2 linked regions of the Lepisosteus oculatus genome follow. The protein of the gene in region 1 interacts with the protein of each later gene in a pairwise test. Links are inferred from orthologs where the notes say so. Each region holds a gene or a part of one and is shown on either strand. Other genes may lie near its edges.

The links.
Region 2: the proteins of nipbla (region 1) and mau2 interact in binary tests that used the Homo sapiens proteins (3 or more experiments, as listed by UniProt). The link is inferred for Lepisosteus oculatus from reciprocal best matches to the Homo sapiens genes NIPBL and MAU2.

Annotation. Positions count from the first base shown.
Region 1 is NC_090698.1:15,499,717-15,506,841, reverse strand, and holds the start of nipbla (nipped-B-like protein A), read right to left. Parts: upstream 3,077-7,125; 5' UTR 2,959-3,076; intron 1-2,958. UniProt on the Homo sapiens protein: Plays an important role in the loading of the cohesin complex on to DNA. Forms a heterodimeric complex (also known as cohesin loading complex) with MAU2/SCC4 which mediates the loading of the cohesin complex onto chromatin.
Region 2 is NC_090724.1:7,119,071-7,126,479, forward strand, and holds the start of mau2 (MAU2 chromatid cohesion factor homolog), read left to right. Parts: upstream 1-4,360; 5' UTR 4,361-4,473; coding exon 4,474-4,707; intron 4,708-5,179; coding exon 5,180-5,197; intron 5,198-5,878; coding exon 5,879-5,944; intron 5,945-6,643; coding exon 6,644-6,739; intron 6,740-7,039; coding exon 7,040-7,134; intron 7,135-7,409. Other genes in the region: armc6 (armadillo repeat-containing protein 6), read right to left, coding at 162-732, 1,596-1,681, 3,112-3,232. UniProt on the Homo sapiens protein: Plays an important role in the loading of the cohesin complex on to DNA. Forms a heterodimeric complex (also known as cohesin loading complex) with NIPBL/SCC2 which mediates the loading of the cohesin complex onto chromatin.

The DNA.
Region 1 (7,125 bases):
CAGTGAGGTCACGGTACTGTGAAAATACTTAAAATTTGTATTGTGCCTCGTCAGCATGGAAAGTGCCACAAATCTCAATTTGTCTTTTTGAATATTTGGAATAGCCCTCATTTCCAATTCATCTCTATCACAAAGGCATACAACCAACCAAAATATCAAGGCCAGCACTGTTGAAGCTTATTCTATTGTTCATGTGAACATTCTCCACTGATTCTGTGCAGCACTTGACACAGTTCCTTAGAAAGCTCATTCAAAAGAAACACAAAGCAAACCAGCTCATGGTGAACTTATCCCCTGTCTAATCAGCATTCCCTGTCAGAATAATTCACATCTATGGACATAAGCAATTGCTTTTTTCAGGTACACTCCATGACTGGAAAATAGGAACATCAGCATAAGAATAGTTGTAAACAAGAGGAGGGCATTTAACCTGTATTGCTTGTTCAAATGAAAGATGCTTATTTGTCAAAGGATCTCATCCAGCTGTTTCCTGAAGAATTTGAGGGAAAGTTTCAACCATAGTTCCTGCTTATGCATATATCGTGCATGGTACTACGAGATCTTTTGATGGAAAATTTGAAATAAATATATTAGATTCTTTAAAATAAAAATGATGTGGGTAGTAGGAAAATCCGGCAACCAAATAAGCCACTTTTAAAGGATGTCTGTTATTTTATTATTTGATTTTCCTAAAACCTGTGTTATGCCCAATTCAATTACAGCAAAATGAATTTAGCCATACTTTTAAACAGGCAACACAAAACCCATCTTAAAGTTAAGCAAAGGTTCCAGGGGTCTGAGTTAACATCAGAGGTGAAATACCTGAATGTACACAAATGTACACTATGACTTCACAGTAATGGCAACCATGTGTTCTAATAATGATAACGTATTATGAAAATGAGAGGAAGGCACTATTGTTTGAACAGAAAAACAAGCAGTTTTAAGCCCCATGTGTGCTGGCAGTCACTCGCACTTGCGGTCTGCTGGCTGTGCGAAGGGTCAGTGCCCAGCCCTTGACTGCCAAACTGTACAGCCATCCTTCCCCACAGGGGTCACCCCCCCACACCGAGGGCCGGCCCAGAGAGACGAAGACAGCACCTGTACTTCCTCAATGGAGGCCGTGTGCCGCATATTACAGCTGGTGAGCTGTGGGCATCCCTTGAATTCAACCTTTATGGGATTAAGCGGATAAAAACTTCACGTGGGAGACCGAACGGGAACGGTCTGCGATTCTGGATCCTGCCCACGGTCCACAGCGGCTGCAGGGTTCAGAGAGATGCCCGCGGCGCCAACCTGCCCATGCGGGAGTTCACGTGGGCAGGACATTTGGTTTTGGGGCGGCCCTGCGCCTGTGAACAAAACACTCCCTCTCAGAGAAGAAAAGGTTGTGAAACTTCTCAAACGGAGGTGCCAACCATAAGGTTCAATGGATTTATCCTACGGGCATTTCCACAAATCCTTTTTCTAATTTTACTGTCAATTTCTGGGAATTTGACAATAATTATGATCTCTTTGTTTTAAGTGTAATACAGTAGACTGTATATACATAGTAGTAATCGCCGTACAAGTGTACCCCTGCGCCCACAGAGTCTCTGCTGAGCTAGTGACAGACAGAAGGCGTGCACATTTTACACTGACAATGAGGGTATCGGCTCATCACTGCAGCCTTATTGAACATTAAATAGGAGAAGTAACTTGTTTTTTAGTGAATGCTAGTGGTACAGTAATGACAGGTCTATCCATGTCTGTACCAGTAGAGAGAGATGTCATTACAGGGGCTGTAGTGTGGAGTGGTGGGAAGGGCTCTGGACTCCAGGTCATCATTGCAAATGAGACCTTGTTCTTCTCCACTAGCTCATCAGGTTGAACACAGGATTAAGTGAAAAGCCCTTGCTTCCATTTTTATTCTGCAGTCTGATCACTGGATGCCTTTGCCTTTTAGAGATATTCAAAACACCTTTGATGGAACTTCCTCAAACTACCTGCAGCTTGGAAAAGATTAACCTTTTTTGTCATTTAAAAATGATTTGTCCATTAAACAGGAGCCCTTTAAGGGTTCAGCAGTCTAAAACTGAATATGGTTTGCAATTTTTAACTTGCACATAATAAATGTTCCACTGCAGTCCAGTCTTCAACGTTTTTAATTCACATTTAAATCACACACAGACAGGTTATACTATTTGTGTGTAACCTTGTTCATACGTTTTAAACTTCATTTTAGATCATTTTAATGATCGAAATGAAGAAATTGTCATTAAATATTATTTAACACACACATAAGTGGGTATCAGTGCTTGTATTTAGTTCTGAATATAACATGACCCTTGTTTTTGTGCACACAAATGCACTTTTGTATCCAAAAGTAAAATTACGTTAGGGAAGGTCACCACAACACCTGGAAAATAATTGCTATCGTTAAATGAAACACGTAAAATGGAGAATCACGATTAAAGTGTAATTCAATCCCAGGAACAGCTCGGGACTGCATGCATTACTTCGGTGTTCGCTCGGAGTGACACACAGGCTGCAGCCCGCCCTCTTGTGGCGCAGGCGCGAAGTGCAGCCCTTGGCCGGCGACAGTATCGAGGTGTCATGTGGGCACACGTCTTATTACCAGGGCAATCCCCATTCACAGGGTCGGGTTCTGTGACAGTCCTGTTTAAATGAGGAGCTGGCCTACTTGACGAAACACTGGCCAAGGAAAACACGAGGAAAACAAATCTGGCCATGCGTAAGACTACCATTAAGTAACGATGAAGTCGTCTCATTAAGTTTTATTTTCATTATAAAAGGCAGTCCAATCAATAAATCGATGTCACACACGCATCTTCACCAAATACATCAATCGATAACCTGTATACAGACCGACGTCAGCATATCGATCAGCGTGCGTCGTCCGTCAATCAGATATCAGGCTGGTAAGTATACAGCCGAGGAAGGACAAAAAATACTCACCCAGGTAAGTAAAGGCAACGTCTCGGTTCGTGGCTTTAAGCGTCCCGGTTTATTTCTTCAAAGAACAGCGTGGTAAATGAACTTCGGGTGCGTTTAAAATATATATACAACCCGAGGCAGATGAACTCAATCTCGATGAGGCGGCGTTGCTAAGGGCAGCGGGTTACTACTGGCCGCGCGCTCACCTGAACCGGAACACCGTCTCGAGACGTGTCGGGGGAGGATCATGGTCTAGACTCTAGAGACTCTGCCCGTGGACTTTCACAGCACAGCGCAACTGACCCCTGAGGGCATCCACAGTGCGTTTAGAGCTCCTGTTCCAAACGCCCACAGCTCTTTGTGTAGGGACAGCTTTCTACTCCTTTTCCTGCTCATTTGTTCTCTGTTTTCCTTTGGTGCACAAAGTTCTTGTTGGGGTTTATTCTCTGCGAATTCTTCTTTAAGGGAAACCTTAAATGCCCCCTTTTTCTCTTTCCTAAGTCCTCTCTGTTCCAAATTAAAGTACCTCTACCTGTTCAAGCAAAACTCAAAACACAGTCCAAGAGAACAAGACAGAATATTCAAACTAACTGCAGAACCTCACACCTAAATATTGTCCCTCTGTGAAAGTTGGTTGTGGAGTACTATGGTAAAAGGTAGACTTTGGAACAGTAACGCTGAACCTGTGCCATCAAGATTGGCCCCTTGATTCTGACATGTATAGTGCACATTCAGGTTACTAGCATGCAGTGGTTCACACTTGGCGTAAAGTGTACACCTGGTGTACCCTCTGGATTCACTGTAGCTAAGTGACAGGAGCAGCACTTTGTCTCCTGATGTCATCTGTCCTCCTAAGCTCAGCCAGGCTGGGCCCGTTCAGTACTGGGGCTGGAGACCTGCATGGAAATCCAGGTGCTGCAAGTGGTTTTGCTGGACCAGTAAGTGGTGCTCTTCCCTCTAGCCCCAGGTTTCCGCACTAGAACCCCTCAATGGTGACAGGGGAACTGTGCTGTAGGAGGCGCTGACTTTGAAGAGATGTTAAACACAGATCATGACGAACTTGGTCGTTAAAGATCCCAGGGTGCAGTTTTGTAAGAGTAGGGCTGTTCGACTTCAGGGAAATTCCACTTGGTGCTTTCTCAAGCTGACCTTCTTAATCTAAATTAGAAAATCTGTTTCAGCTGGTGAGGCAGTTTCTCCTCTCTCTCCCTGTGGGACTACAATGTGTTTACTGCTGTGAGGCTGCTGTGTGTCTCCCACTGTGAGACTGCTGTGTGTTTCCCACGGTGAGGTTGCTGTGTGTCTCCCACTGTGAGACTGCTGTGTGTTTCCCACTGTGAGGTTGCTGTGTGTCTCCCACTGTGAGACTGCTGTGTGTTTCCCACTGTGAGGTTGCTGTGTGTCTCCCACTGTGAGACTGCTGTGTGTTTCCCACTGTGAGGTTGCTGTGTGTCTCCCACTGTGAGACTGCTGTGTGTTTCCCACTGTGAGACTGCTGTGTGTTTCCCACTGTGAGGTTGCTGTGTGTCTCCTTCCGTGGGGTTGCTGTGTGTCTCCCAATGTGGGGCTGCTGTGTCTCCCACTGTGGGGCTGCTGTATGTCTCCCAATGTGGGGCTGATGTGTCTCCTGATGTGGAGCTGCTGTGTGTCTCCCACTGTGGGGCTGCGGTGTCTCTCGCTGTGGGGCTGCTGTATGTCTCCCAATGTGGGGCTGCTGTGTCTCCCGATGTGGAGATGCTGTGTGTCTCCCACTGTGGGGCTGCGGTGTCTCCCCCTGTGGGGCTTCTGTGTGTCTCCCGCTGTGGGGCTGCTGAGTGTCTCCCACTTTGGGGCTACAGTGTCTCCCACTGTGGGGCTACTGTATGTCTCCCACTGAGAGGCTGCTGTGTGTTTCCCGCTGGGGGGCTGCTGTGTCTCCCACTGTGAGGCTGCTGTGTGTCTCCTGCTTTGGGGCTGCTGTGTGTCTCCTGCTGTCTAACTCTGCCCCCTGCTGGTGTGAAGTCTAACTGCTTCTCACTGCAGGTGAAGAGGGAAGAGTGAGCTGCAGAACCCGGTCACTTGTTTGATTATTAGGAGGTCACATGTTTCCCCGCCCCTGACCCTGGGCTATTGAAGGCTGTCTGTAGAACCTGCAGGCCAGTGGCTCTCCAGGAGCAGGGGTCCAGAGGCCTGTCTCAGACCCATAGGCCTCCATAATTCCCTCCCTGGAGCTCATATTTGTCCAACATTTCCCCATACTGGGAATATAGACAGTGTTCTCCCTGATATCCTGGATGTATCTTTTAACTATATATCCTAATACTGTTTGCATTTCTTATCGGTGCCCTACATTGTCTAGAAGATGTGAATGATGTGTCAACACAAACACCAAAGTCTTTTTCATGAGTGGCCTATTCAGGCTCAGTGCTTCCCATCTGGTTTTTGATCCCTGCATTCAGAACTTGCACTTTACACTCGCATGCAAGAAATGTCATGTCAGGTGTTTCGAAGTCTCTCTAAATATCTCATTTCTAATTTAAAGATCTAAAGCTTCTACAGTGTTTGCTGTTCCTTTTACTGTGGCATCATCTGCAAACTTCGCTAGTTCACAAATTCTACCAGAATCTAGACATTGATATAAATTAGGGAGAGCTGTGGTCTGAGTACGGATCTCTGTGGAACTCCACTGATGATATTGCCCCAGCCTGAGTATTGACTCCTAACAGCTGAAGATAGTTAATTCTACTGTCACATGCACCCTATCCACCTTGAATGTGATTTTGATTTACTTTGGATAAACCCATCCTCCAAATGAATAAATGTAAGTGTAACACACATTTACCATTAGCCAAATGATTAAATGCAATGTTCTGTCTCATTGCGAAGTTGTTCCAGAGGTCTCAAGGCAGGTGACAACCACACTGAGGCTGCACTGAGATGGTGTGTGTAGATATTATGATCTCACACATCACCTAAGCTAGCGGTTGTCTTGTTCGATGGCTGCTTGTCAGACACCAACTTTTTCCCTGTAGAGTCAGAATCTAGTAACAGGGATGGCTGCTTTTGTCTGATTTGACACAGGAAAGAAAAAACCTAAAATACTAACAGAGTGCAATACAAACCAGAAAAAAACATAATTATTTCTATTACTGTCTGCGTAGTGAGACCTGGAATGGAGTATCGAACATTTCTTATTGTTTCACTTCTTAAAAAACTGTTTTCTACAAATGTGAGCGGTCAGTGGTGGCAGTTTCCCTTTGACACTGGCCCCTTCCGTCCAAACATCAGCTATCTTGTCCCGTTAACGAAGCCGTTTGCTCCTGCAACAGGAAGTGCCGATTCCAGCTTCCTGTGTTTACTCAGACACACCTCAAAAAGATGGTGTTCCTGCCCAGGGGACCCAGGACATCTATCACGGAGAGGTCATGCACGCGAGTCTCAGGGGAAGTACAGTTTGGTCACACAGACTTTGCTTCAGATCATGTCATTTTCTTTGGGCTAAGTGACAAGAAAAGCATGAACTGCAGCAGAAAGAAGAAACTCAAATCTCTGTAGGAATTTCCATTTCCACACATAGATCATATATATCATTTTCATATGTGTTACAAATAACACAGAAGTACTATAAAAGCTCAGTGTCAAAATTTAGAAATAATAAGCTAATATATAGACTGTAATATGTGACGTGTTAATTTGCCTACATCAGTGTTTTCACCTGTATCATCGAATCAATCAGATGCAAAAATAGGATTTGGGGGAAAATGTGCCCTCTCGTGGTGGCAGTATATAATACCAGTTAAAAATTAAGGATGTATGCTGTGTTTGCATAAGGTCCAGATTTAATTTTGTATTATTTATAGAAACAAAAGAATGACTGCAAATTTTCTACTAAAAACATAGATGACAGAACAGAAAGCCTTAAAGAACTATTTTAGAATACTATGTACAATTAGTACATGCTTAAAAGAAAAATACTGCATCAGTGGTGTCAGTCCAGAGAAGAGCTACCGGATACAGTGCTTAAAGGAATGTCCGAACCTGACAGCCAAAAGGAACTGAAACTTTTTAGGTTTGTTTTTTTAGTCTTGAACAGAGAAGACTACAGGGTGATTTAATTCACATGTTCAAAATCTTCAGAAGCACTAACAAAGTCTACCTGGCAGAATTCTCCAAAATATAAGCAGAGGACACAGGTGGAAACTGCTTGGA
Region 2 (7,409 bases), on another chromosome or scaffold:
CTGGGTATGACCTTTAACCCCAACTATACTTGGTCTTACACGTAGTAACCGCCGGGTTTCACAACAAAGAGGGAAAATGCTTGATGTCAGATTCCCACAGACTTAATTATATTTTAATTAAATGTAGTTGAATTGATAACTTCAGCTCTGCGTCATCTTACCTTCTGCTGCCTTGATGATGACCTTTAACCCACTATGCTCCAGCACAATCATCTTGGCATGGTCATGGGCGTGGCCAAAAGGGACTCTTACATCATCATCGAAGGTCATGACCCTAAGCGTGGCACAGGCCTCCCTGACTAACTCTGGCTGGGAGTTGTACCGTGAGATGGTGCCCGTCAGCAGCGCCAGCACGCCGGCCTTCACCAGGTCCTGTCGGTTCTGCTCGTGCTTCAAGCAGCAGTGGCGCACGACTCGGACGGCCAGGCAGGTCACGCCAGGGTCGTCCTGGTGCTCGTTATAGACGCCCATCAGAAAGTCTCGCCCATCTGTGTCCAGCAGGTCTGGCTGTCCATCTGTCAGGGCTGCCAGGGCCCCTAGGGCTGCCAGCAGAGGTCTCCTCTCTCCGCCTGCCTTCTTGCAGTAGGAGAGGATTATGGGATAGGCATCCTTCTGGGCAGCCAAGTAGCGGTGAGAAAAGTCCATCTTGCACTGCTCTGTGAAGCGCTGCAGACCCTCACACAAGCTGTCTGTAGAGGAGGACTTCAGGGAGGTCTGCAGAGACTCTAAAGCCTAGGAACACAGAAGTGTGGAAAACAATTTTACATTGTCTCTTTATATTGACATGTTATTCCTTTTAAACACATCTTACCTTTTTTATTTTGCATCATTACAATTTTTACTTTAATTCCTTGTTATTACCCTTTATTTGTGCATTTCCTGTTATCATTGTCATTATCTTTTATGTGACCTCTCATAATTTGCATTAGGTTATTTTATGCTCCCTCTGCAAAGCACTTTGAGGAATGAAAGGAGCTATATTATTTTTATCTTATTATTATTGTACCCCTTAGCCAATAACCTTGACCTCATCTGTGTCCCAAAACACATGACAAAAAAGGAAACCGGATCAGCTAGAAAGAAATCGCTCAGCGGCACAAGGCAGACTGCACCGGAAACCCCTGGGTCACTGCCTCCATCCCAAGGGCTGCCGAGAGCTTCTGTGAAATGTTGCTTAAACATTTACTTATAAATTCAGATATACTTGTGCCTGATTTATTTATGAAAGTCTGCATTTTCAAAGGGTGTTTTATTTGCTGTGGGTTCGGAAGTCAACGTAACATTTTTGGATACGAGTATATATTACAAAACACGACTATCTTGCTGGACATTATGGATAAGATCACGGCGCTGGCTCTGCACCACAATTTTACAGTTGTACCATGCTTTCAGCACTTTTTTGTTTCTACTTTCACATGCCATCTTACAGCTTGTACTGTGCATTGCTAGACCCAGTAATGCTGTAACACAGTTTTGGACACAATTTCACCACGTTACATCACACTTCACTCTGCTTTTACCATAGTACACATTGGCCACCCCTTGTAAAGAGACTTACACAGCCTCACTCAATGGTCTGGCTTTATTGTCATCACCTGCAGAACACTGTGTGTCTGCTCCTCTTCGGTGTCCTCTGAAGCAGTCGTCCGGACAGCCTTCACAATATTACTGAGGTCCACACCTGGAAATGAACACATGCAAGAGCCTCATTTCCTATCAGCTCTTCCCTTTCACTCTTGCATAGTGTCAACAGCCAAAATATTGTTTTTTTTTCTTTCTCAGTGTTAAAATAACCTTTACTTGTCCCTTCATAGATTACCCTTAAATCGCCAGTTTCTACACGCGAGCTCCTGACAGAATTGCACGTGATTTTGTCAGCCCAGCCCCAGACAGTGGCACACCTCATGTCTGATGTTGTGGTTGAATCAGTCAGAAACAAGAAGTCATTTAAGGAGAGCGAGACCATTTTTTTTTTTTGCTTTAACTGCTGCATCTTGGAGAGCATGTGCTAACTGTTCCAAAATGTTCATACTTAATGAACAGCAGTGACTTGTTAATTTTTCTAACAGGCTCATTTTCTCTGTGCCTTTCCATTTACACAGTGCCTTTGTTAATGCAAACTCGTAAAAGCAAAGTCTGCTGGTGCTTGCATTTCTCATTCTGTGCACATTAATCAATAACAAGAGTAAAGAAAGTGCATGTTTTCAACAAAAGGATGTTTAGTGATGTTTTTGGTACTGTTTAAAGACAGTTGTAAACTGTCAGACAGGGAATTCAATTATAATTTGTCATCTATTATCAGTTTTAGTCCTGACTGAGACAATTCGGAACCAGATTTAAAACAGTCCACAGAATTCCAGCAGGAGTGAATTACAGTTTCACCATTTTAATAAATTGACTTGTTAAAATGGAGTAACTTAGAAACAATCCAAAATGAAAACGTACATAAAGACACTGCGGCTCTCAAGGACAACAGCCGGCCATTTCCCCAACATAATTATACCAATCAATTTACTCATTTGTACAAAAGGCATGTTTTTCTGAATCTTTATAAACTGGCCATTTAAGGGTGACCAATCAGACTGACTGGATGGTTTGGGGTGTCTTCAGAACCAGAGTTGGGCTCCCCTGATACAACAGTTCCTGGGGTTCAGCCATGGGATCCCCACACCTGCTAGCTTTTATCCCAGCTAAACTGTTTGCTTCAGTGTATCCTTTATTGAACCCAGATTTTTCCCCAACTCAAAGTTTGGAGATGTGAAGTTAGCTTAGGAAGTCATGTAAATGAAAGGGCTGAAGTTGTTCAAGTAGGGGAGCTGCGTCAGCATGCGTAGGTTGCAAGGAACAAGTAAAGGTTTATTCCATCCAGAAAAGAAAGGAAACACAACGTTTTGGCTGTGGAGCCTTCTTCGGCTCTACAGCCGAAACGTTAAGTTAAAGGGCAAGGTCCTACAAGCTTAGGAGGACTCTGGAAACAGTCAGACTTCAAATTTAATTGATTATCAGGTGTCAGTTAAGGGTCCGATTATTTCACGGAGAGCTCAAAACCCGGCAGGATGGGGAGCCATTGCGTTAAAGGGCCATCAGCGGGGGTAACTTATCTCCTCGTACCCTGAGACTCGAACTGTTGCACCGCCTCGATCAGCGCCTCGGCGGCGTCCATCTCGAACTCCTCCATGTTCTCCTTCACCACCGCGTCGAAAGTCTCCTGCGCGATCCGACGACTCGCCATCTTCGCTCCCGACAAAACCGGCCGGTTCCCGGAAACCTGAGAGCTGAACACAGCACGCAGAGACAGCCAGCTGGGGAGATGCAGCAAGATTACGGTGCCGTGTTGTTTTACGAGGCCGTTCACAAAGCCCTGGTATTGCTGTGAATGCCTAAGACCTCGTACTGTGCTGTACTGGCAAGAAGCATTAAATGTATATGTTATATAAAAATATGTATGTGGCGTGCCCCTATAAACAAGACGAGTGCATTTCGGGTTTTTTTTCCTTTACAGCGCATCCTTTTCCATTATGCTGTTGCGGCTGCATTGTTACACAGTGCACAGTTAAGGCTAACGCAAAAGCTGTCGTCCTTTTACAAACGCCTCGATTCTTTCTTCGAGCCTTAAGGCAACACCGTGCAAATCACTACGACTTAAATGCCGTAAAGATGAGAAGGATTACTTATGCACTCTTATTCTATTTTTAACACCAAAAAAAAACCAAAGCGCAATTAAATAAATACCTGCGGTTCAAATCACTATGAAATATATATAAACATACCTCTATGTAGGTCCAGATATTTCTCTTTTTAAAGCAATCGCTTTGCATTTAAACACAGTACCCAGACACCATTTACTGCCGCCCAGATCAACTACAACTGTCACTGGGATGAATAAACCTAGAAACCGCTAACGCTACGGAAGTATCGTAGGCAGGAATCACGATAAAGGACCTACGTCCAAATGTGGGGCTATGTATTTTAAGAATAGGTCGATGAACAGGACGCTGTGTTGTCGTTCCGTGTTTTGCTTGTGTCGGAATTATTGAGTTCCGCAGCACTTTAGTTCCTAGTCCACCCTTTTCCTATCAACAAAACAACATTCTCAGTGGCAATCGTAAAATAATATATAAATATAGATAATGAATACATTCATCACAGTAAGGCAGGTTGATTTTGCTTCGTACGTTTTTCAACTTAAAAAGCTATATAATGTTGAAATCTGTTTTGCTAAATTGATCATTTATCAGAAATTTTATTATAGGTTTTTATAAACTTGATATTTTCTTAAATTATCCATCTGTTAAAATAATACAAAAAATTGCAAATCGGGATTGGAAAACAGAAATAAAAGGTGACGGTAGTGTTAAACTACATATCCCGGGGGACCATTCGGTCCAAGTCCCGTTGTATTCTCGTTCTGATCTCAAATCCCGCGGTGTTGGAACAGCGGTAGCTGTGGTGGTTGTTGTTGTTGTCGGTAAAATGGCGTCTGGCGGTGAGGCCCCGGAGTCATGGTACCTCGCCCTGCTCGGCTTTGCGGAGCACTTCCGTACCTCAAGTCCTCCTAAGATACGCCTCTGTGTCCACTGTCTTCAGGCTGTCTTTCAGTTCAAGCCGCCACAAAGGGTCGAAGCCCGCACTCACCTTCAGCTAGGCTCGGTGCTGTATCATCACACCAAGAACAGCGATCTCGCCAGAAACCACCTGGAGCAAGCGGTGAGGGGTAGCGCAGGAAAGACCGGGGATTCGTGAGGGAGGCGGGGAAATGAAGGCCACGTCTGTAAAGTGTACTATGAGAGAGGAAGAGTTCTGTAACAAGACCCCTAAATCAAATAAAATCTTCAGTGTAGTTCTTGAATTAGAATGCGACACATTTGCGTCTATTAAAAAATGAGCGACTTTTCTTTACAACGAAAGTGTTGCCATATTATTTCAGCTGAATGTTACTCGATTATGAAGTTGAGCATTTCAAAATTAGTTACCCAATAAGGCGTCTTTCACCGCCACAAATAAGTAGTGGCGGTGCTTGTTGCAGGGGTCTTTTTCGGATGGAAATGTTTAAGATCCACAAGAGCTGCATTTTGATGGATGATTTAAACTTTTTTTTAATTCATTTTCAAAATAAACCTGTGACTATGGTTCACGATCTAACAGTTATTATGTTACTAATATTTTTTTTTCTCTGCAGTGGATGGTGTCTCAACAAGTATCCTTTTTCACATGGGCACTGCTCAGGAATAAGTTACGTTGGTTGCTTGTTACTGTCATACCGGTTCAAGGGGTCAAGGTACCATATTGTTACTTTTCTTTACTACGCTATGTTACGTGAACTTCGGCAAAAAATGAAACTGAAGTCTACACTTTGCTTATTCACCCTAAATATGTAATATCGCATTTACCTGTTTCTGGTCGAGTATTGCACAGTATTTGCTGATAGCTGTCAGATCGCTACAAGGCAGACCTGATGCAAGTTTCCAAAATCCCCAAAGTCAGTGACTGAGTCAACCCAGCAGGTTACTTCACAGCGAGCACTGAATTGGGAGCCAGGGATCACAAGTGGGAAAGCATGTGGAAGTTCTTGTAATACCAAGAACAGCAGGTGCTTCTTTACGCAGAGGGTTGTAGGAGTCTGGAACAAGGTTACCCAGTCATGTCGTTGGAAGTCAATACCCTGGCTTCTCTCATTAAACATTTGGTTGGGATCGAAGGATCAGTGAGCAGCTCATGACCCAACTCGCTGGATGGGTCGAATGGCCTCCTCTCTTTTGTAACCGGGCTTATGCTGGAAAACGTTTTACTTTGATTTGGCCGAAAGACAACTTGCTTTCGCTTCAGTATTGTCAGGACAGTAATGGAAGAGTAATTTCCTTCACCAAGCAACCCCTAGGTCCCTCAGTTTGAAGATGTCAAGTTTGAAGCTGCAAGTCTGCTGTCTGAACTTTATTGCCAGCAGGTAAGCCTCTTAAATTCTTGCTTTGTGTTTTGTTGTGAGAGAACCTTGGGGATTGTCTTGGCTCCCGGTTGTCTCTATAAACATCCCGTCAAGTAAAAATGATGCATCTGTTTATAAGTTTGATCAAACTGACTGGATCGCCCCATCTTATTTGGTCATCCGTTTTTCCTGTTCTGTGCCTGTCCCATCCTTAAGAGATGGGTGTTTTGCTGCTCTCTGTCATAATCCATCCATTTTCTAACTGCTTCATCCGATTCTCGCTGGGGAGTCGAAGCCCTTCCTTGCAAGCAACTGGTGCAAGGCAGGGTACACCCTGGACAGGACGCCGGTCCACTGCAGGGCACACACAGACACAAACACTCCCTCCGGGGCCAGTTTTCCCAGAAACCAAATAACCTACCAGCACGTCTTTGGACTGTGGGAGGAGGCCCGCACAGACACGGGGAGGGCATACCCTCTTCATGCACATAGCACCCCAGGTCTCGAATTGAAACCTGGGGCATCAGCGCTGCCTCAGTGAGGCACCTGCCGCCTCAGTCATCTTAAAATCAACATCTTATCCAGACTGGTACCTTTTGTGACATAGGCAGCCCTTTCAAAGTGCATCTGCACTTTCTTCAAAGCCTTTTATCTCCTCGGTGAAATGTGCGAGCAACGTGTTTGTCTTTCTTCCCTGTCCTGCCCTCTCTCCACGTGTAGAACTCGGTCGACTCGGCGAAGCCCCTGCTCCGCAAGGCCATTCAGATCTCTCAGCAGACGCCGTACTGGCACTGCCGACTGCTGTTCCAGCTGGCGGTAAGAGCACAGATTTGAAGCCTTTTTTCTGTCCTTCCATATTACTTTTACTGTCGAACTTGTGATGGTCCGAACTTTATTTTTAAAGGGCACACATTATTGTCGTCATCTTAAAGCCTTTCAGTTCTGTTGAGCGTATTTCTTCTAGCCTATGTGTCAAAATACAGCCTTTCCCTTATACATAGATGCTTGTTGTTAATTTGAGAATGCCAAATTGACTAAGCTTTTGACATTGTGGGAATGTTGTGTGAAATAAGCGAGTGCTTATTGCTGAAGCAGAGGTTGGTTTCTTTTGTACAGCAATTGCACACCTTGGAGAAGGACCTGGTGTCGGCCTGTGATCTCCTGGGGGTGGGAGCTGAATATGCCAGGGTTGTAGGCTCAGAATACACCAGGTACTGGAAATTCTCCTATATGGACAGCTGAGTGTGCTTAAGAATGCTGCGTGACGTTAGCAGGTTAACTATTTTAAGTGTATTACTTTTATTTGTAGCAGTGGGTTTTTTTAAGTCATCACGTGTTGTGGTGACATTTCATAAATACTTATGAGGAGGTTGCAATTTAGAAGTATTAAAATTAATTTAATGTGATAGGGGATCGCCTTAAAGATGCATGACATAGTGTCTTTTTGATGACTGCTTATCTCCCCGTCCTTCTACTCAGAATACAA